4 linked regions of the Arabidopsis thaliana genome follow. The protein of the gene in region 3 interacts with the protein of the main gene of each other region in a pairwise test. Each region holds a gene or a part of one and is shown on either strand. Other genes may lie near its edges. The genes, in order: AT1G20910, AT2G22760, ATE1 and TCP3.

Region 1 (6,783 bases), on a different chromosome or scaffold from region 3:
CGGTCATGTCATGTGCCTTACATGCAATTGAGCTACACCAAGTTGAGAATCAGCAATAAAAAACCTTTTTTGATCACTGTGAAGTGTGAACCTTTTTGCATGATTAAAGAGAAAGAAAACAAGTTGAGAATAATGTTTCTTGTCTTAATACTGCAGTATTTTCTGATGACTCAAAAACTAGAGTGAGCTTCAAAACTTTTGAACCTTAAATTTTCGTCATGAATTGATGATACATATATATATATATATATAAACAAGTAATGAACCTTTTTTTCTTTTCTAAATCATATATTCCCGATCATGAACTTTTTAGATTCAGGGAAATGTCAATAAGTTTTTTGCTGTTTTCGTTTTCCCTTTAATAATATGCACCACCAATATATGCATACTTTCACTTTCACTTTTTGAAAACAAATCATCTCAGGAGAACTTTTGAAAACCGAAACGCATGAGAACCTAAAAGTATACTATTGGAAGTAGAACTAGTAGATGGGATAGGCAAATCTATTCATCTCTATTAAAAAAATATGTATAAGAAAAGCATAACATTCCGATTTTAGATCAAAATCATCATTGTTGGTTGCATCCTAAATGTCTTTGGAGCAGTTTCTCCTACTAATCTCAAATTATACAAAAGAGAAATATTACAGTAAGATCAAATGTTTGTTGCATGTTCCTAACTTCAGTCTTCAGATTCAAATCACAGTTACAAAACTGCTTCAGCCGCCTAACAATTTGGTTCTGAAACATATGAATTCCTAGAAGAAACCACGAACAACTGACCAGCTCTCTTGAAATCCATTACTGCTCAAACGGAACTCGTATGAACAACCGTCCATGCATGCTCATGACCGCGGATGTGTGAAGCGGATCAATTCTTGCTGATAAGTCAACAATCTGGTGAAAACATATCAAAATGACAGGAAGGTTCTCAGTCTCTGTATCAGTTCAGTTAATGGACATATCTGGAATATAGAAGAAAGTTTTACCTTTTTGAAGGGTGTAATCCCCCAAGGATTGTCAAGCTGCTCTGGCTGGCCTGTTATAACCACCTTTCCCGCAGGATCTGATTGAATTCGAACCTGAGAAAAGACAACGTATGTTCAGTAATTGGAACTATGTACTGATTTTACCAGAAAATACTTATTGCCTACAACACTGTGTACTGAGACTATGAAACTAAAGCCAACGGATCTGCTTTGGTAACCTACCAAATCGCTTTGTGCTTGCTTTGTATTGTCACAGTAATATGCATTCAAACAAAATTAAAAGACAAGGACTTATCAAGTAGCCTTCAGAGACAGGGTTACAAAGGAGTGCTCACCTCTTTGCGAAGAAGTCCAGGTACCAAGGCAAATATCTCGAAGGAATCCTTCTGTGAATTCAAGAAAAAGGAAAACAGATTTGGTAAGAATTCCATATTGGAAACAAACATCCAGTTTGCAAGTTTTTGGCGTTTCTTTAGCCGTTGGCAGAAGTTACTCACAGATTCTTTGACATTTATCTTCACCCAGTCAGCAACGGGTCCAACATCAACAACCTCAGCAGCCAACCTATCATGACAAAAAGGAAACCTTAACGTTAATCTATAGTAATATGTTCAGGTCCAGAAAATGCTACGTTTTCATCTCATTACTGCTAAGAGGCATTGAAAGAAGAACCAAAAAACTAATATAACTATCTTAGAATTGCAAATAAGAAGGAGAGATCAGCTTTCCGTAACTGTTTGTCAGCTTCATTTGTAACAACATGGTCCATGCTAGTTTGTTGTTTGTGTTTTTGCAGCCCTGAAAAAACCGTTTAAAACATAACGTTAAGCAACCCTCGTTGACAAAATAGCAAAGCCTTGAGAACTATTTTGTACCAATGCTTTTGAGTTTCTTGTGCTTTGGGGTGGAAATTAAGCCCTTATCCTGAAACAAAAGGAGAACATCATTTTACTTCCGAAATAAAAAACGACAAAAGAAATAAAAAGTCTTCTTCTTTCTACATGTGAGTCAGATTCCTTGGTGCATGAAAAAATTCTGCATAATGGAATCACAAAGTGCAGTAAGATTTGAAGTGAAACCTTAACAGCAGGCGCAGTAACCTCTCCAGATCCAACAAGGCGCTGCGCATGCCAACCTTGCATAGCACGAGCTGCAGAATCTCTTCGTGCCCTGCCTGACCCTGAACCTTGATGGCTACTTGGCTACAGCAAAGTCCTTGTATCAGGGAAGAAAAAAATATGGAGAAGGGAAAAAAAGGGAGGCACATGAATTTTCGTTTAGGTTTTCTGCAACTTATATGGTAATTTACTGGGTTATGCACACGGATTTCTTATGGCTTTTGTATCGAACACAAAATGGCTACAGCTTTCTTCAGTCAGATTGCAGATAGTTGGGTTTAAAAGGTTTAGCTGGTATTACATAAATGCTGAAAAATAACTCTTATGCTATCATTTCTTCAGTATCAACGACATTTAATCACAGTACATGAAACCTTCCCACAATAAATTGACAAGTAGATACTCTTCATTAATTTTACGGTGCTAGATCGATCTTCATCCAAACTTTCCATATCTACCATTATTTCTATATATTATTCAGTAGTGTCTAAAATCCAAAAGCCATTTTTTTAGGGGAAATTCATACCTCTTTCTCGACACTGGAAGACAGAATCAATGTTGAACCAGGAAGGTTAAGCTCACCATTATTCCTTAAACACTTTTCGTACTCCAAAAGTGCCTGCAATTGAAGCAAAGATATAGATCATATGTACCTGTATCTATATGATAAGATAGAAAGAAAACAAGCAGTGCATTCAAACTTCGAAGTGACAAAAGAATAGTCCAAAATAAAGAGCTACCTCAGCAAGACAAAGAATTAAACTAACTATTATAACACACCATACTAAGAAGAAGCACAAGGAGAATTGTCTGAAGTGGATAAGTAAAAATGAAGACAGGATAAATATACGATACTTATGCACAAAAACAAACTCACCTTCTCATAGAAATTGCGGAATGTGTAGGAGACTGTTGTGCATGTCCTGAATAAAGATAGTTTAACCAAATGTGGAAAAAGATTAGCATTATGAAAAATTGGTAAAGACTAACGGAGAGTCTAAGGAAAATATCAGCCATACTTGGGAGGATTGAAGGATTCTCCAACTTGCCGCCACAGCTTATTTGTGGTGACCTACATTACCATGAAAAAACAAAGGAATCTTAAAGACCATAAGTCCAGCAGAAGATTAAGAAAACATTGAATATATAATTCCAAATATAGCTAACAACAGTAAAATAAATCAGTTTCCCAAGAAAATATCGAACATTCTTTAATGTTTGATATGTTCGCTTAAAGTCATAAATCTTCTCTGAAAGCCACATCGTTATAGATACTCTTATCATAAATTAGCTTACGGATTCAATAGTTATACCCTATATACAGTTCATATGCCATCCACAATTCAAACAATAAAATGTAGGTGATAATCATACGGGCCAACTTAAATAACCAAGACTTATAAACTGACGAACTAAAAACGATATGGTTTTGGATAATTACCACTTCATAGCCACCTAGGTTCACGACTGCTCGCCAAAGCCTACATTGGATGCAAAAGTGAGGCACTGATTAACCAGATATATGGGTTTATTAAGAACAAAAGCACCACTTTTCCAACAACTCACTTGAGAATGTTTAAAGGCTGTCCATAAAACTTAGGAGGTTTAAATTCCAGGAAACTCTCTTTGTAAAAGGCCTCCACTTCTCTTAGAAACGCCACTTGTTCTACCGGTGTCCCTGCTTCATCAGTTCCCTGTGCCTGTAGAGAAAGGTGAACCAGTAAGTGAACAATCACCACATAATTTTCGACCACAAAACAGTGAAATCCAATCCTGAGAAAACAAAAAGACACAGGCTTTTTGAGCCAAATTGAAAGAAACATAGCCTAGTACCTCAGAATCCAGCAGCCAAGTCTTCCTCTTTTTGGCATTCTCACCTTCAGTCTTAGGACTCAACATTTGCACCCTACGAGTCTTCCTTTCAGAGTGGTCAACAACTCCAACAGCACCACCATTCATGCCATGACCATTATTAGCCTGACCATCTCCAAGAAGAAGGGGCTGCGGGATTTCACTAGGGTTGTGATCATTTTCTGGCTCCAAAGGTTCTTCCTCTAAATACTTTGTCTCAACAAGGGCACCAAAAGTCACATCTTGCTCTTGCATTTCGGTATCCACCATCTTAAGCTTCGATTTCTGTTGTGGAGTAGTCAGTCACAGCAAGACAAGGACAAAAGAACAAATCCAGAAGAAAAAAACGAAGAAGATAAAAAAACTGTATATAACTAACTATTGGTGATTCCAGATTAAACAAAAAGGAATTGTCTTTCTTCTCCGCCTGGAAACTATAGCTTCTCTCTCTCTCTCTCTTCTATCTCTAAACGCAATTAAGAATTGGAGCAAACTCACTCACTCTATTACTACAAAACCTCATCCTAATCAAAACTACCACAGATAAACAAGCCGAGAAGACCTTTCAGCTTCCATAGAATACAGAGAGCAGCAAAAAAAAACATATGCTTACCAGTTCTGCAGCGACGGCGACGGCGAGTAAAGGTTGGTATGAGAACGCAGGGACTCCGACGGCGCGCTAGGGTTTAGCAGCCGGAGAAATTGAAAGAAGCTGGAGGAAGAAGAAGAAGAAGGAGATACAGAGAGAGAGCTGAAAAAGGAGAGACAATTCGAAAGAGGAGAGACAATCTTATGTTAATGGAGGAAGGTATTAGTAAAAAAGATGGGATGGGGGATGTTATGTGGTTTTTAACTTTAATTTGTTTTACACTCAAAAAGTAAACAATTTCTTTTCTTCTTTTTGTATCTATTAGTCTTTTTAGACTTTCTTAATTTTTGGTAAATATAGGATTTGTAACCTTTTATTGTTGTTGAATGTTGGGATTTCTACTATATGTAATAACCACGAAAGATAAACATTGAAAAAGTTTTTTTTTTTTTTTTGCCAAAGGGTGTTATTATATATATGAAACATTGTACAAAACATATATACATAGAAGAAAGGAGCTATATGAAATTTAGGTTTACGAAATTACGACAACGATTACGGAGGAAACAAAGAAGATCGAAATTAGTATAAATACGATACAAAAAATATTAAAAAACTTAGGTTTATAGAAAAGTTTATGAATTAATTTTATATTTTTAACAAGAAGTTCAAGATGATAATTAAAATATATGATGTTGAGACTTGGAAATAAAATTTAGGTTTCATGATTTGGAGTTAAGATGTGAAAACTATATCATAATGGAAATATCTATATATACATGTTTGGAGGGGATTTTTGAAGATAATGTTGAAGATTTGAGCCATAATTCAACAATTAATTCAAATGGGTGGGTTTTACTCGGCTTAACTCTGTTCAGATCCTGGATAACATGTTTAATTCAGTTCTGATCTTGGATAACATTAGTTTTTGGAAAAGTTACCTAAAAACTAATAATTAAAAACGAAAATTAATGATTTAATTACCAAATTTAATATAAACAATATCTCTAAACTAACCATATTTCTTATTTACCTTAACTAATTTCCTAAAATATTTCTACCTAATTTAAACATAAATATATAATTCTTCTTTCAATTTTATTTGATCTTATACTTTATTTATTTTGAATTTATATAAAATATATATAGTTAATAAAATATTATATTTTTTTCTGAATATGATGTAATTCAAATTTTTTAAAACGGACATATATTATTCAACCTATGAAGAAATAATATGTGTACAATGTCCAACATCGCTTAGAAAAATTGGACAATGGTTCAGACCCATATTATAAAAGGACCAAAATGATTCTGATTATGAATGAGCATGAAGCTTGATTTATCAGGCGTCCAAAATTAAAATAGTTATCCGATTTTACTCGGATTTTTTATTTTAAAGAATTAAAACTTTAAAATGTTTCAAAAAATTATAAATATTATAACTTTATCAAATGTTAAATATTATAATTTTAAAAACTTTTTATAAAGTTTATCTTTAAAAAATGCTTTAAATATTTATAATTTTAAAACTTATAAAGTTTTAAAAATTATAAATTGAATTTTACAAGAAATTTAAACATTACAAATATAGAAAAAATATATTAATACGAGATGATATATTACAGGAAAAATCTTAAAAATTGGGTCGATATTGTATTTTTTTAAGTTTCAAATTTTATAATATTGAAATTTATAAGAAAATGACAAAATTATGTTTAATTTCACGGGACTGGATTATATGGTAGGACGGGTTTGGGTGGATAATAATTACGATTTTAGAATGTTCTATATCGCTTAAAAAAATTGGACAATGGTCAAGAGCCATACTATAAAAAGGACCAAAATGATTTCGATTACGAATGAGCATGAAACTTGATTTATGAGGTGTCCAAAATTAAAATGGTTTGTTTTACTAGGGTTATTTATTTTAAAAAATTGAAACTTTAAAAAGTTTAAAAAATTATAAATTAAATATTACAAGAAATTTAAACAATATAAAAGATATTAATACGGGACGATATACTGCGAGAGAAATCTTAGATATAACACTCAAAATTCAATGATGAAGTTTGGGTCAATATTAATCTTTTTTGAAGTTTCTAATTTTATAAATATTTAAAATTTATAATAAAATGACAAATTTGTGTTTAATTTCACGGGACGGGGTTATATGGTGTGACGGGTTTGAGTGGATAATAACATGGGATAGTATGCTATGGAAAAAAACATATAA
Region 2 (3,957 bases), on a different chromosome or scaffold from region 3:
TGTTAGGTGGTACTCAAAGGTTTTGAATTGGCTTTTAATCGTACCGCGTCGTGCGGCAATTATTATTTGGTCACGTCCCTCCGATACTGCCCTTGCCCTATGACTTCTAAATAGTTATTGGTAAATAGTAATAAATTTGGTTGAATTTAGCGTCATTTTTTTTTGAGCAAATGTAGCTTTTTTTTTTGTCGAAAGCAAATGTAGCTAAGTTGTTGAATTTGCTAACTACTGAAACTTTCAAAATAAATTACGAAAACTATAATTGTATATCTTTATTGGGGCAAAACTATAGATAATTAAGTTAATTCTTTTAATCCATTTTCATGCCCTACTATTTTTTCGTAAATATTTCAGAATTTTGTAACATTGACCTTCGATGTAATTTTGCTTTCTACAATATCTTTTTAATGTCAAGCAATCTTCTTTTCCTTTTTTTTTTTTTTTTTGATTGGTTAAAAGGTTTGCTTTCTACAATATGTTTCTTGTTGACATGAATGTGAATTTCATTAAGAATTGAAGAGGGTTTGTCAATAATTACAAAATACTTTAACAAGTCAGAAGGCATTACGACCATGCTAAGGATAAGGCCACATTTGTTTTTTTTTTTTGGACAGCGGATAAGGCCACATTTATTTCTGCCACTTAATAAAAAAACAATTCTGTTATATTTTAAATTCATTATTAACAAACAAAAAATGTTACATCTAAATTAATTCTCAACGGTCGTTATCGGAAATAGCTTTGCTAAAAAAACACATCAAACATGTGGGCACGTGTGAAAAAATCTCAAGAAGAAAACGATAGCAAATCCACGAAACGATTGTGTCAATGTACAGTCTCAGGTTACTAAAACTTGAAAGAAGACCTAAACCATTGCGAGTCTCAGGTTCCGTACAAGATCCTTAAGTATACTCATCGAAAAATCTTTATCCATCTGCCACACAAAAAGTTAAGAAAGCATAATTGTAGATTATCAGTTTCATTAATACATCAATATTATATTGGATGAACTACGAGTTATCCATTTTAGTATTGCATATATATATAGTTATTAATGATCACCTGTGCAAGGACTGTGATGTCGAGAGTCGAGTCTCCGAATGGCAATACGATGCTATTTTCAATGCGCAATTGAAAGTTTTCAATTGTGTTTAGTATGTTGATCATGCACCCTTTGCTTTTCTCGCAAAGGATTCGGATGAGAATGTCATTTTGAGAAATTTTCGCTTCGATTTCTGGTAATGCTTGATCGAATTCAATATGAACTGAAGGAGAACATGATAGGTTAGGTTCCTCGTCGAAAAACACTTTAGATTTCTTTACAAGAATCATGGATTCCATTTGTCTCGTTGCTTCTTTTTCTTCCTTGAGCGTTCTTAGTTGTTCTTGGAGTTGTTTCATACGCGAGATCGCGTCATCAAGAATCGTTACCTTGTCCGCCTAAAAAACCACAAGATAGTTTTGTATTCTCAAAACCAATTGACACTGATGAATTATTATTTTTTCTTCACTATGAAAATATCTATAGTTAAATATATAACAAATTTATCGATAATTTACAATTTAAATTTGCAATACCTTCTTAAGCCCGGGAAGGAGAGCTGAAAGAGCAATGAATTTTTCAGAAAGCTTCTCACGGCGCTTTCTCTCGGCTAAAACATGTTCTTTCGCAAGAACCGGAGATCTTGTGCCATGAGAACATGTTTTTCTTTTGGTTCCACGACCAACCAATTTATCCATAATGATCTCCTCCGCGGCTGGAGAAGAAATAACATTACTAGAGAAATCAAAAGAAATCAGTTGTTGCTTGTTGTTGATCTTCATCATAGGCTTCACCGCTGCCTTTGGCTTCTCTCTGAGGCACTCAAAATGCATTTGATGATCAAACTTTGACGATTGATCAGCTCTTCGTGAATTTGATAAAGATTCATCAGGTGATAAATTATTTTCTTCGTAAATATTAAAGTCGAAATCAATGTCTACTAGTGAGAAATCGGGTAAGAAAAAATCTTCATCCATACCCGAATATGAAGTAATAATCGATAAAGAAATGTCAAATAGTTTCCTGATTAAGACAAAGATAAATCGAGAGACGTCTTTATTGTTTTGTCGTAAAGGGTTTATGAATAGAAAGTGTTTTCAGGTATTCTTACTATATATTCGACAACGAGACGCGGCTTAAATTATTTTCTCCACTCCATAATTATGTTGACCAGATTGTGTATATAATGCATAAAACGTGACGTATATGTATAAACTAAACATATTATGATCGAAACTAGAAGTCTTCTCATTATTGTCTATAATGATCGTATAATTTGTTGGCTTCTAGTGGTCTGAGATTCATATACGTGTTATGAATTTGAAAAAAAAAAAACTACGTGTTATGGACCCAAAAAAAAAAAGTAAGAGAAGAGAGACGTGTAAATAAAATAAGCACGTGTTTTTGGTGTTGAGCTTATTCCCACTCGGAAACAACAAGGATATAGAAAAACTCTGTAAAGCCTCGTCCCCGTCTTCCCGTCCATCTAACAACCTCATTACTTTTTATAAAGGAAAATATACAAAAGTTATACTTTATTATCTTTTATTTATTATTTTAATTGTAATTTTATCCAAAAAAAAATCATATGAAATGTTAAGTTTTATACCGTTTGCAAATTTTTCATCCAGAAAATTACATTGTTAAATTGAAAGAGAAAAAAAACAAAATTTACTTACGAAACAAAAAATTACAACAATTTTTTAATGAGTTTGAAAATTCATGAACATATCTCGACTCGTTATACTGCAATAAATTAGATTAATGGTGGATATGATATCGAGGGATATGTTGCAGAAGAAGTTATGATACCATGTGGATGTCGACATCTATACATTTATAAACAAGTTGTGTTTGATAATTAATCGATCATACTGTTTTGTCTTTAAACTCAATTTGATTCCGATAAGGCGATAACGACCCCAGACATAATAAATGTCCCTACTCCCTACCAAACGGGTTATTTAGTCTTAACTGCACTAATAAGAGGCCAGACCAGGTTGGTATGATGACGAATTCACATATACATCCACTATCCAGCCCAAAAATGCAATGGTTCTGGGCCATGGCCATTTAAAAACAAACATTTCATATGAAGGATTTATGTAAGAAAATTAAAAAGTTAATATGCCTACAATATAAGATCCAAAATTAAGGCTTCCAATTAGTCTGGGTCGGTTTAATTCACTAGTTCTCTGATGAAACGATTATGTACTGATTCGACTAATTCAATGTAATGACTAAACAAAAAAAAAATAAAAATGTAATGACTAAAAAACTGGATAATGAATTAATATGAGCAAAAAAAGAATTAATATGACAAACATATTTTTAACTAAATTATAAATATCAAAATTAGAAATTGTTCAATTGGTACTGATAGTTTTTTTTAAACAGTACCAAAAATATTAAAATTATAAATTGCCTTTGTCTCTAGTAATATTGGACCTAATTGTTTCTTCTTCACAAGCAATTTTATTAAAAAGGTGGACTAGCTTTAATTTGCTCATCATCCCTTCGACAAAAACCCAAAAATTGAAATGGTCTCGGCATTCGCAATTTGAGTTTGAATATATTTTTCCGTAAGCAGATCAGGAACTTGCTCTCCAACGCAAATTCGGAACGTTAGGAATCCTAAGTCTAACTTAGGATAAACGCCAATGTATGCGGCATGGAATTGGTAAGCTCTTGGAATATTCTTTCCGTAGTAATGCGTACTACAATTATATGTGTGTACATGTCTATCGTCACGATATATTTGATAATAAAGATTTGGTACGTATCTCTTGAAATGAAGTCACAACAGTGCCTTTTAAAAAGGTCAGTAGAATTATAAAATGGAGATTTTGTTAGAAAATTTTGGATACGAAATCTGGATAACATATAATATTTTTTTATTTATGATATAAAGTGAG
Region 3 (5,403 bases):
TTTTGCTGTGTCGGGTCGTGACTAGATTTTGTGTCGTTGTGAAGAAAAGCTTCAAAACTCTTTGGATTTAAATTGGTAGTTTCAAATACATTTTAAAAAAGAAAAAAAGAAGAAGAAGATACTCCTAGTAGGAGAAGTAGCTAGCGGTCAAAAGGGTCAAGAAAAAAAAAGAAGATTACGGAAGACGAGGAGGGGCACACGTGTGAGAGATGTGGTAAAAAGTGTTCTGCTGCAAAAATTCTGAGAATGTTAAAAAAAATTTAAAAAACCTTTATTCTTTTTTACTTAACACTTCCCAAAGTCTGAAATCTGCTCGTGTGGGCCTTTGCCTTTCTTTTTCACTGTCAGGCCTCCCCACGTGCGCCTCTCTCCTCCTCATTCCCTTTCTCCTTTTACTATTTTTTATACATTTATATCTGTAATGCTGAATTGCTGATATGTAGCTCGATAATATTACAAATAATATAGTTTTGGATATCTCCCAATAGTTATTATTATAAACTTTTATTATCGTAATAAAACCTCTCTATTTGTAGTTTGTTTCTTGCAAAAATTAAAAAGCATAACAAAACCATATGTACGTACCAAAGATTGACAAAAACTACTTCATGAACAGTAAGTTAGTTTTCAACTTCTTGGACAGAAATTTTTTCAATATAAAGGTAATCAGAAAATACAAACTTAAAGAAAGACACCATGTACAAGTCTCATAGTCATAGATATACAACAACTGAAACATGAATACAAACAATTTTGAGTTTTATCTAATGACTAATGGTACCAAAGCTCAATGGAGCTTGGTATTGTTGAAGCTTCAGTTGATTTCATACACCATTCTCTCTGAAAGCTCAGCGCCCACAACCTTGCGGTAGCTTTGTAACATCGGTTCCAGTTGCTTCCTGCCTACGGGAGTTATGATCTGCCGCATTTCCTTCCAAATCCATTTTTTTTTGTTTAGTTGTCATCAATATGAGGAGAGTTTGATAATGCTCAATAAATACCCAATTAGCTATGATAATTCAAAAAGAAACAAAAAAAGAAGAAGAAGTTTGATGTACCTTGTATCTATATTGGGATCCATAAAGACCGATAAGGATGTTGTTAATGTCGTTATCTTTGGATCCAGGGTCTGACTCAATATGAGAGTCCTCTGATTCAGTCTCATACATTTCCTCATCATCATCATCATCATCATCATCATCCTCATCCTCATCTTCATCCTCATCACTGCAGCCCATAAAGTTATCATTCGTCTCCCCTTGTTCCATGTCTTCATGTTCACTTGCTGCTGGTTCCACGAGAGTTTCAGAAGCACCAGCTAGTAAAGAACATTGATTATGTGAAATAGCAATATCGGACAATATGACATATGGCTTTTTATCAAGCATCGGCCTTGCTACTTCAAATGGAACCCACCTGGAAACACAACTCCGAGTGTTAAAAACTTACATTTACCAGTCTCTTCACTTCAATGACATGTCTAAGAAGAGGACATAAATATCTTTTTACAAGTACCAGAACTTCATATGAGAGGAGATCAATGATAAACTAAGGCATAGAGTAAAAAAATATACGACTCAGTTTGGTTGTAACTTACTGGAAACGGAGAGGACATAGAAGCTCAGATGGACGATAGGCTGCTTTATATCTCATCTTGCTGCAGGAATGTATATAATAACCAAGATAGTAATACTGAAGAGAAGGGCAGCGAGCTTGGTTCTCTATAACCCAATTAATTTCTTGAATGGCAGAATATTTTCCGAGCGATAAGAATGCATAGTCTGGATCCCAGAATAAGTATACACTTGACAAACATTTAGGAAGAATGTCTACAACCCCGACGGCAATTAGGCGGCCATCAATTCTATATTGTTGGTGGAAAGAGCCGAAGCCACAAGGCGGAACCTTTTCATCACCTGAAGGTTGAACATCTATTAAAGGAGAGTCGACCAAAAACCTTCTGTATGAACTTTCTACAACGTGCCCTGGCTTATCATTGTGCACTTTCAGCTGATACCGTTTGTATAACTCATGTTCTTCAGGATCAAAACTAGACCTTTTCAAATGTATCTCCAGCTTTCGCTTTCTTGCCTGATGGTTTTCTGAATCCTTCTTAGCGTGAAGGGTTTCACTTCCATCTAAAGAATTGGCTCCTCTCGAGATGTTACCATTAGGTACAACATCTCTATCAGAAAAAGAATCTTTGGCAGATGAAAGGAAATTGATATGGCCCTTACAGACTTTGATAGACACATCAGGAGTTTCCCCCACCTTATGCATTGCACTCAACAACATCTCAGAAATAGTTTCAGGTGATAATCTATTTCCTTCTGCACTATTTATCCCCTCTTTCTCAGATGTCTGGATGCGTTTTATTGCAGCTGCTATTGGAAAAGCAATGTTGCTGGTGTATAAGATTTGTTCTGTTCCTTCAGCTAGTTTCTTTCTTCTAGCACAGAAAACCTTCTTCACTGAAGCTTTTGGTATCTGCATATTAGACGGGAATTCCCCACTCCGTATGCATAATTGCACAGCTTGGTCAATATTTTTAGACAAATCATCCATAACTGCTTCAACTTTCTTATTCTCTTCACTTTTAGCAGCTCCAAGTGTTTTTCTCCTTGTATCTGAAACATCACCAGAGGAAGAAGCACCTCTTTGTTCCCTGGGCTGCACATCTAGTTTGCCATCCAAGAACCTTTGACAAAACATTATTAAGAAAATTCAGGAAGCTCTTCAATGAACGACTTCATTAGAGAAATCTGAAGATCGTGAAGAATATTTACACATCAGAATCATAGATCTCTCCTCATATGCATGTTTCAAAGGTAAAACCTTTCCGACTAAGCCAATAACATGAAACAACTAACACCACAAAAACTTTCATCTATTGATCCAAAAAGAGAAGCAAAGTGAAGCTATATGCACCTTTCTAGTCTTCTAGAAACTCGCTGCTGCTCTTTAGTAGGAACAAAATCACTTGCTTTCAAACGTATCGTATAAGGAGGGCAACACGTTTTATCCATCTCATGTTTGTAAAGATAAGTACCAGATCTTCTCCAGCCTCGGTCAATAAGAGCTACAGAAAAGTAAAGCAAAGATACATAAAAGATCTCTATTCTGTCAACAAAATTGGTTCATCACACATAGAGTCCAATAATAGCAACAAACCTTGGTAGTCATAAACGGTAAGAGTCTGTGCTGATAAACCTGCATTGACATTCACTATGTTTATCAATCATTTATTCATTGGAACTTTAAGATCATAAACAAAATCAATTCTTATCAAGCATATGAGCAATTCGAGAAGATTCTACTCTAATCGATCGATTCAACAACCTAATCCGTAAGAAAAGCAAAATTAAACGAACCGTGAGAGATACTGGACCGAGCTGGGGATTTACAGTAGCCGCAAGTGCTTTTACGGCGGCCATGATCATCGATTACGCTTTCTCTGTTGCTTCCACCGTCGTGGCTACTACTCGCATCGTTTTTCAAAGACATAATCGCCGATTATTCATTCAGAAGAATTTTGCTAAGCTCTTTCCGTTTGGAGAAGAAGACATAATCTTCTTTCACATTTGACTTTTTTTTTCAATATTAAAACATTGTTGCTGACTGTTATGCAATTGGCAAAATGAAGGGGTTGTTATGTAATTATAAATATTTTAAGGGAAGAAAATGAAAAATAAAAACATTTTGGGGCAAAAGATAAACACGAAAAAATAATGGAATCGATAAACAGATTTTCGATAGCATCGGCAGATTTGGATCAAAACCCTAATTCTCCAGTTCAATCTTCGGAAGATGGCAAGCCTGTGGCGAGCAGTAATCGGCGGTCAGAACAACAATTCCGAAGACTACGGAGGCGTAGAGTTCTGGTCAAACCCAGAACGAACCGGCTGGCTCACGAAACAAGGAGAGTACATCAAGACTTGGCGACGCCGATGGTTCGTGCTCAAACAAGGGAAACTCTTCTGGTTCAAAGACTCCGACGTCACGCGTGTGTCACGCCCTCGCGGTGTCGTCCCCGTAGAATCGTGCTTAACCGCTAAAGGAGCAGAGGATGTACTCAACAAGCAAAACGCGTTCGAGCTATCGACGAGAAATGAGACTATGTACTTCATTGCTGATTCGGAGAAGGAGAAAGAAGATTGGATCAATTCCATTGGACGTTCCATCGTGCAAAACTCCAGATCCGTTACCGATTCTGAGATCGTTGATTACGATAACAAACACTAAAGTTTCTCTGTTTTTGTCTTTTGTCAAAGTGATTATGATCACAGCTTTCATTGATGGAGTCTTAAATGTAAATCTTACAAAATCAAGAAATGAAAAGCTTTGTCTCTGCTTGAAAACATGAACTCATATCCGAAAAACATATAATATAAAACCTAATTCTTCAAGGGCAACGCTTCTGGTTCAAAGACTTATATGGTTCTTCAAACATGTACTTACCAAATATGGTAACAGAAGCAATACCTTTTGCACGTGATCAAATACAATAACTTCGTCGTACAGACTAAGATGCATGTATGGAAAGTTCCTCTCGTCATTAAGTGTCCTAAACCCTACCCGCTTCCATTCAGGGCCGGGTCTGGAAGGAACAACAAAATACCTAAAACCCCTCTCCTCTTCTTCTTCTTCCTAGTCCGACACTCTTAGAGTCTTCAAAAACATTGCAAGAAGGAAACAAAATCCATCTTCTTCGTCTATTAGAAACCCTAACTTGAGAATGTAAGTATTGATTTCCCACAACAGTTTTCTTTTTCCTTTAACTAATTAGGTTTAGCAGAAAACAATCAATGTAGGCAAGTTATTTTTTTTTGTTTCGGCCTTCTGTAAATTACAGGTCTTGGATAATCGTTAAGAATCTTCCTTCCAAACATGTGACAGAGGAACGACTTCGAGATGTCTTTTCACGAAAAGGAGAAATCGCAGACGTGAAATTGAAGCGTAAAAGGTACATTCAAATCGAGTGTTTTTCACAGCTAATTCTTGTGTCACTATATTTCGTTTTGCTTTTGCAGTGATGGCAAAAGTAGACAATTTGCTTATATTGGCTTTCGTACTGAACAAGAAGCTCAAGATGCTATCACATATGTTAACAAGTGTTTCATTGATACTTATCGAATATCTGTTGAGGTTATTAATCTTCACTTAATTACTCAGTTTCACTTATGTAGTACTAGTTTCAAATCTAAATCAGATTCTCCTTGGTATATAGGTTGCGGACCCTCCTCCGAGGGAAGAAGGGAAGGTTAATGAAAATAGTGAACATTCTCATGAACAAGATCTCGGCTAGCCTTTCAAACTCTTTTTCTGTTGTCAACATTCTTTATCAAAAACACTCAAACAAATCGAAGCATTCATTGTAACAAAGTTTTTTTGGTTGAATCTATT
Region 4 (4,203 bases), on a different chromosome or scaffold from region 3:
GTAGACAGTTATTTGACACTAGACATCAAATTCTCTTTTGCTCCTTTTTCATAAAATCTTGAAATCTAGTATTGAGGAAGATTCTATGAAAAGAAGTCAAAAACCATTTCTCTGATATTTATATAGGGATCCGTGGATCATGGGCCAAAACTCTTACTAAGTATCAGAGCTTGCATCCACTAAACAAATTTTAAAAGAAACCCATAATTCTAAACTCTAAACTCCAAAAGAAGCAACACATGCAAACCCTGTCTATGGAAAGTGACTCTTCATCTATGGGGCCAAAAGAAGAGACTAAGAAACACAAGAGAAATGATTGTTTCAAATTCCATTTGCTAGTCAAAAGAAAGTTTATAACCACAGAGATTGGGAAGATAATACTTCTAATAAACGCTAAACCAAACAATATGATGATTGATGTAGATGGATAGAGCACTGTTCCTCTTTGGGATTGGCAAACAAAATGAGATATTTCTTGGGGAAAGCATTAAACCCACATGGAATAAAGGGCAAACAAAAGACTTTAGCTTCAAGTGGGGTTAAAGGTTTCCAACACAAGAACATAAATAAAGGACAAGTAATTGTAGAACAAGTTACAACAAACAAGATGTGAGCTCATGTAGCTAGAGCTAAACATTGTAAAACAGAATTGAACTTACAGAACGTTCTCTAATTGATACAAGATGAATTCAAATTAACCAAGGCCTAGGCTTTTAAAGACTTAAGAAGAACCTGAAACTGTTGATCAGATTTATAGGCCATTTGGATATTCGAAACACACAACAACGAAAACCGCCTTCACTATTCCACGCATTCGAAGCGCCCTGAAACGTTAAAAACAATGTAAGTTATCAATTTGATGAATGGTTAAAAGACAAGACTTTCACAAATGGGTGTTGTTTTCGAAAAACTTCAAACCTGGAATATGAAAAGAAACCTGTTGTGTTGCACAATCTTATGTGTTTTTGGAACTTGTTTAATGGCGAGAATCGGATGAAGCAGAGGACGGCTTGTTGTCGCCGCCGTGCTCCTCTTGTTCGCCTTGAAACCGTGCTGGTATACGAAAACCGGAGAATTCACCACTTGAAGCAAATGCAATGCCTGGAATAGCAGATTGGTGAATCCCGGGAGGGATATGGTAGGGATGATGATGGTGGAGATCGTCAGTGGTCATGGACTGCTGATGATGATGATGATGATGGTGAGGATCAAACCAAGCACGAATCATAGGTGTGTTAATGGACTGAAGGGGACCCCTCTGTGATAAAAGCTGACTTTGGCTATAAACTGGATGCAACGACGACGGAGAAGCAAACACAAATCCTCCGGTACTTCCGGCGGATTCAGCTGCTCCGACGTTGTTCCATGACACTAGTCTCTGTATCTTTCCAAATTCCGGTGACTGATGACTCTGTTCCCAGCTTGCCGTCGATGAGTCAAACGCTAACTGATTATTGCTCTGGCCGGAGAACAGAGCAGGTTCTGTTTGATTAGGAAAAGGTGGACCATTTTGGAAAGATTGAAGCGAGAGACGAAGAAGATCTTGGTTCTGTGTATTGCCTCGTGACGGTGGCTGATGATGATAGCTCTGTTGCGTTGAAGCTACCGGAAAAAACGACTTTATAGTGTCAGCTATCGAATCAGAATCCATTGACGCCGGAAGAAAACTCGATTCGTTATCTTCTTCTTCTCCGATTCGATGATGCTCTGTTTCTTCCGGTTGTGGCGGTGGCGGAGAAATTAAAGTTTTGGTTTTTCTGGGTTTAGCGTTAGCAGCAGCGGCGGCGTGTTGACGAAGAGTATCGGCGGGGTTCCAAGGAGGAAGCTGAGCAAGATCATCAATGGCGGATTTAGCTTTAGTAATAAGCCAATCAACAGCTTTACTTGGTCGATCAAAACCAAGTCTATCTTGAACATCGTAGAATTGAATCGCCGTCGGAGCTGAGAGTCTCACGCGCCGGTCACGTGGTCCTTTCGCTGTACATACTTTACTATGTCTGTCTTTTCTTCCTGTTGACCGAACAATGTGACCTCCTTGTACCTCCACAATCTCGCCGCAACCACCACCGTTCTCCGTCGCTGATTGGTGGTGTCTCATCTCTAGAAGAGGCGGCGACGGAGAATCTAAGAAATGGTCGTTATCTGGTGCCATTGATGAAGCATATTGTGGAAATTCAAGGTCGTTGATGGTGGTGGTGGTTGGATTATGACGGCGGCGGCGACGGCGGTCGTTAACCGCCGAGGAATCCAGAGTCGTTCGATTTATTTAATTCAACATTTTGCCTCTCCTCCAAATCCCAAACCCTAAACACGCCAACAAATCAAAGATGAAGAAGAAGAAGAAGAAGAAGACGTAATTGAATTTTGCAGACTAACCCATGACTAAATTTCTCTTCTTTTGTCTAAAGATTGTTTCTTTTTTAGAATTTGTCTCTGTTTCTGAGAATTCAAGAAGCAAAAACAGAGGAAGCAAGAAGAGAGAGAAGAGATAGAGAGATGTGGAATTGACTAAACGAGAATCCAGGAAAGCTCTTTTTAATTTTTTGTTTCTGGCCGGAAAATTTACAGTAACGGTAAAAAAAGGAAGAGATTTTGGGGTTTGGGGAAGAGAGGGAAATGGTAATGGAAGGAGTGTGTTTGGTCATAAAAAGAGCTCTCTGATACTCATCATCATCACTTGTGCTTTTATTTCATTTTTAAAGTGTTTTCTTATTTTATATTATATATTTTATGGTTTTTCTAAATGAAAAACAAAAAGCTTTTGTCCGATTCATCATGTGGAAATATTTTACATGACATTTCGAATTGTATTAGCTATATACATTACAATGGATATATTTTGGTAGAGGTTACTGTAAGAATATCAACACATATACATAGTCCTCTTAGGTTTGGTTCTGACTACCACTATTTTTTTTTGTTAAAGATGATAGAAACTATAAGCACTAATAAACCCAAATTTTACCAAGTCAAAGATTGTTCTGTACTGTGTTAGAAAATATTAATACAGAACTTTTGAGGTAGTAAAGGTTTTGGGTTGTTGGAAAAAAAGACAATACAAGAAGATTTCTTTTATAATAAAAACTAAAAAGTAAAGCTTTTAGATCTGTTGGAGAGTTGGAGACACTAATAATTGGGCGGTATAAACTAATATTGATGGTATTATTTTAAACAAATAAAGTATTATTTTCATCGAATCAAATTGTATTGGTTTTAGAGGTTACACCCTGTAAAATGCATCACCAGTATCCGTAGGATTCGACAGTATCCCTATAATCAACCATTGTCTATGCTCCTTTCCACTATCTGTTCTCGAACTCCACTGTTCGTCAATCCCACTTTTAATTAACCAAACGTAGTAAAGTTTCAGATGGAAAACGAAAATAATAGAGATACATACTTGTACATAGTTTTAGTTTAAAATTAACTTGAATTTCCTTTAAACAAAGATAAAAATGTGTATATATACGTAATTTGGTAACTCAATCAGTTTTTTTTTTCTTTTTTGTTAACAAGGAAATCCCGAGCATTTGACATACTAATACAAGTATGGTATGTGATTAAATATGAACATTTTAGGTGTGATTCATGTAGAGATTTCAAGAGAGATATAAGAAGAAATATGTGATTGTAGATAGGAGATTTATGTTTTTTGTAAGTGCGTTTCCTACTCATCGAGCCAATCTGCATTGAATCCATAATTTTTTCTTTTACCTTCCCAAGAGAAGAAATTATCAAAACATCGTTCTACGACATGCAACATCAAATTTAAAGGCACGAAATATCGCACGGTTCACTGGTTTAGGACACAATCAATTATTGTTTTCCATTTTTTTGTCATTACCACAAATTCTCTTTCTAACTACTTCTCCATTATACACACCGACCATGCATGTACTGTATTTTTAATTAAATACCCGTAGTCATACGAACTTTTCTGATATATAATGTATTTGGTACCATATTCTTGATCATCAAATAATGACAATGCACACATAAAAAGATGACGTATCGATATGTAAGGCAAAGATGGAATCAAATTTCAAATAAATGTTTCCCATTGCACCTACTCAACCAAGTGTAGTCTAAATAAATTTACGAATATACCCTATAGGCTTTTAGTGTTTTTCGATCGCATGTGTGTCAGTAAGTACACTCCCCATCACCCTCATAGTCATTTCCTCTTATCTCTCTCTCTTAAGT

The links.
Region 1: the proteins of ATE1 (region 3) and AT1G20910 interact in binary tests that used the Arabidopsis thaliana proteins (3 or more experiments, as listed by UniProt).
Region 2: the proteins of ATE1 (region 3) and AT2G22760 interact in binary tests that used the Arabidopsis thaliana proteins (3 or more experiments, as listed by UniProt).
Region 4: the proteins of ATE1 (region 3) and TCP3 interact in binary tests that used the Arabidopsis thaliana proteins (3 or more experiments, as listed by UniProt).

Annotation. Positions count from the first base shown.
Region 1 is NC_003070.9:7,276,408-7,283,190, forward strand, and holds AT1G20910 (ARID/BRIGHT DNA-binding domain-containing protein), read right to left. Parts: upstream 4,830-6,783; 5' UTR 4,572-4,829; intron 4,244-4,571; 5' UTR 4,229-4,243; coding exon 3,941-4,228; intron 3,808-3,940; coding exon 3,674-3,807; intron 3,589-3,673; coding exon 3,549-3,588; intron 3,180-3,548; coding exon 3,127-3,179; intron 3,031-3,126; coding exon 2,985-3,030; intron 2,727-2,984; coding exon 2,634-2,726; intron 2,192-2,633; coding exon 2,069-2,191; intron 1,914-2,068; coding exon 1,865-1,913; intron 1,788-1,864; coding exon 1,724-1,787; intron 1,554-1,723; coding exon 1,487-1,553; intron 1,376-1,486; coding exon 1,325-1,375; intron 1,083-1,324; coding exon 990-1,082; coding exon of another isoform or gene 912-989; exon of another isoform or gene 898-911; coding exon 802-897; 3' UTR 536-801; downstream 1-535.
Region 2 is NC_003071.7:9,676,074-9,680,030, reverse strand, and holds AT2G22760 (basic helix-loop-helix (bHLH) DNA-binding superfamily protein), read right to left. Parts: upstream 2,188-3,957; 5' UTR 2,020-2,187; coding exon 1,579-2,019; intron 1,441-1,578; coding exon 1,063-1,440; coding exon of another isoform or gene 1,027-1,062; exon of another isoform or gene 935-1,026; coding exon 866-934; 3' UTR 529-865; downstream 1-528.
Region 3 is NC_003076.8:1,712,136-1,717,538, forward strand, and holds ATE1 (arginine-tRNA protein transferase 1), read right to left. Parts: upstream 3,597-5,403; 5' UTR 3,505-3,596; coding exon 3,372-3,504; intron 3,211-3,371; coding exon 3,172-3,210; exon of another isoform or gene 3,080-3,171; coding exon 2,929-3,079; intron 2,699-2,928; coding exon 1,598-2,698; intron 1,417-1,597; coding exon 1,059-1,416; intron 932-1,058; coding exon 815-931; 3' UTR 535-814; downstream 1-534. Other genes in the region: AT5G05710 (Pleckstrin homology (PH) domain superfamily protein), read left to right, coding at 3,808-4,242; AT5G05720 (RNA-binding (RRM/RBD/RNP motifs) family protein), read left to right, coding at 4,736-4,737, 4,853-4,963, 5,031-5,145, 5,228-5,260. UniProt on the Arabidopsis thaliana protein: Involved in the post-translational conjugation of arginine to the N-terminal aspartate or glutamate of a protein. This arginylation is required for degradation of the protein via the ubiquitin pathway. Component of the N-end rule pathway with ATE2 and PRT6.
Region 4 is NC_003070.9:19,849,284-19,853,486, forward strand, and holds TCP3 (TEOSINTE BRANCHED 1, cycloidea and PCF transcription factor 3), read right to left. Parts: upstream 2,443-4,203; 5' UTR 2,153-2,442; coding exon 977-2,152; 3' UTR 919-976; exon of another isoform or gene 918-918; intron 825-917; 3' UTR 505-824; downstream 1-504. UniProt on the Arabidopsis thaliana protein: Plays a pivotal role in the control of morphogenesis of shoot organs by negatively regulating the expression of boundary-specific genes such as CUC genes, probably through the induction of miRNA (e.g. miR164). Participates in ovule development.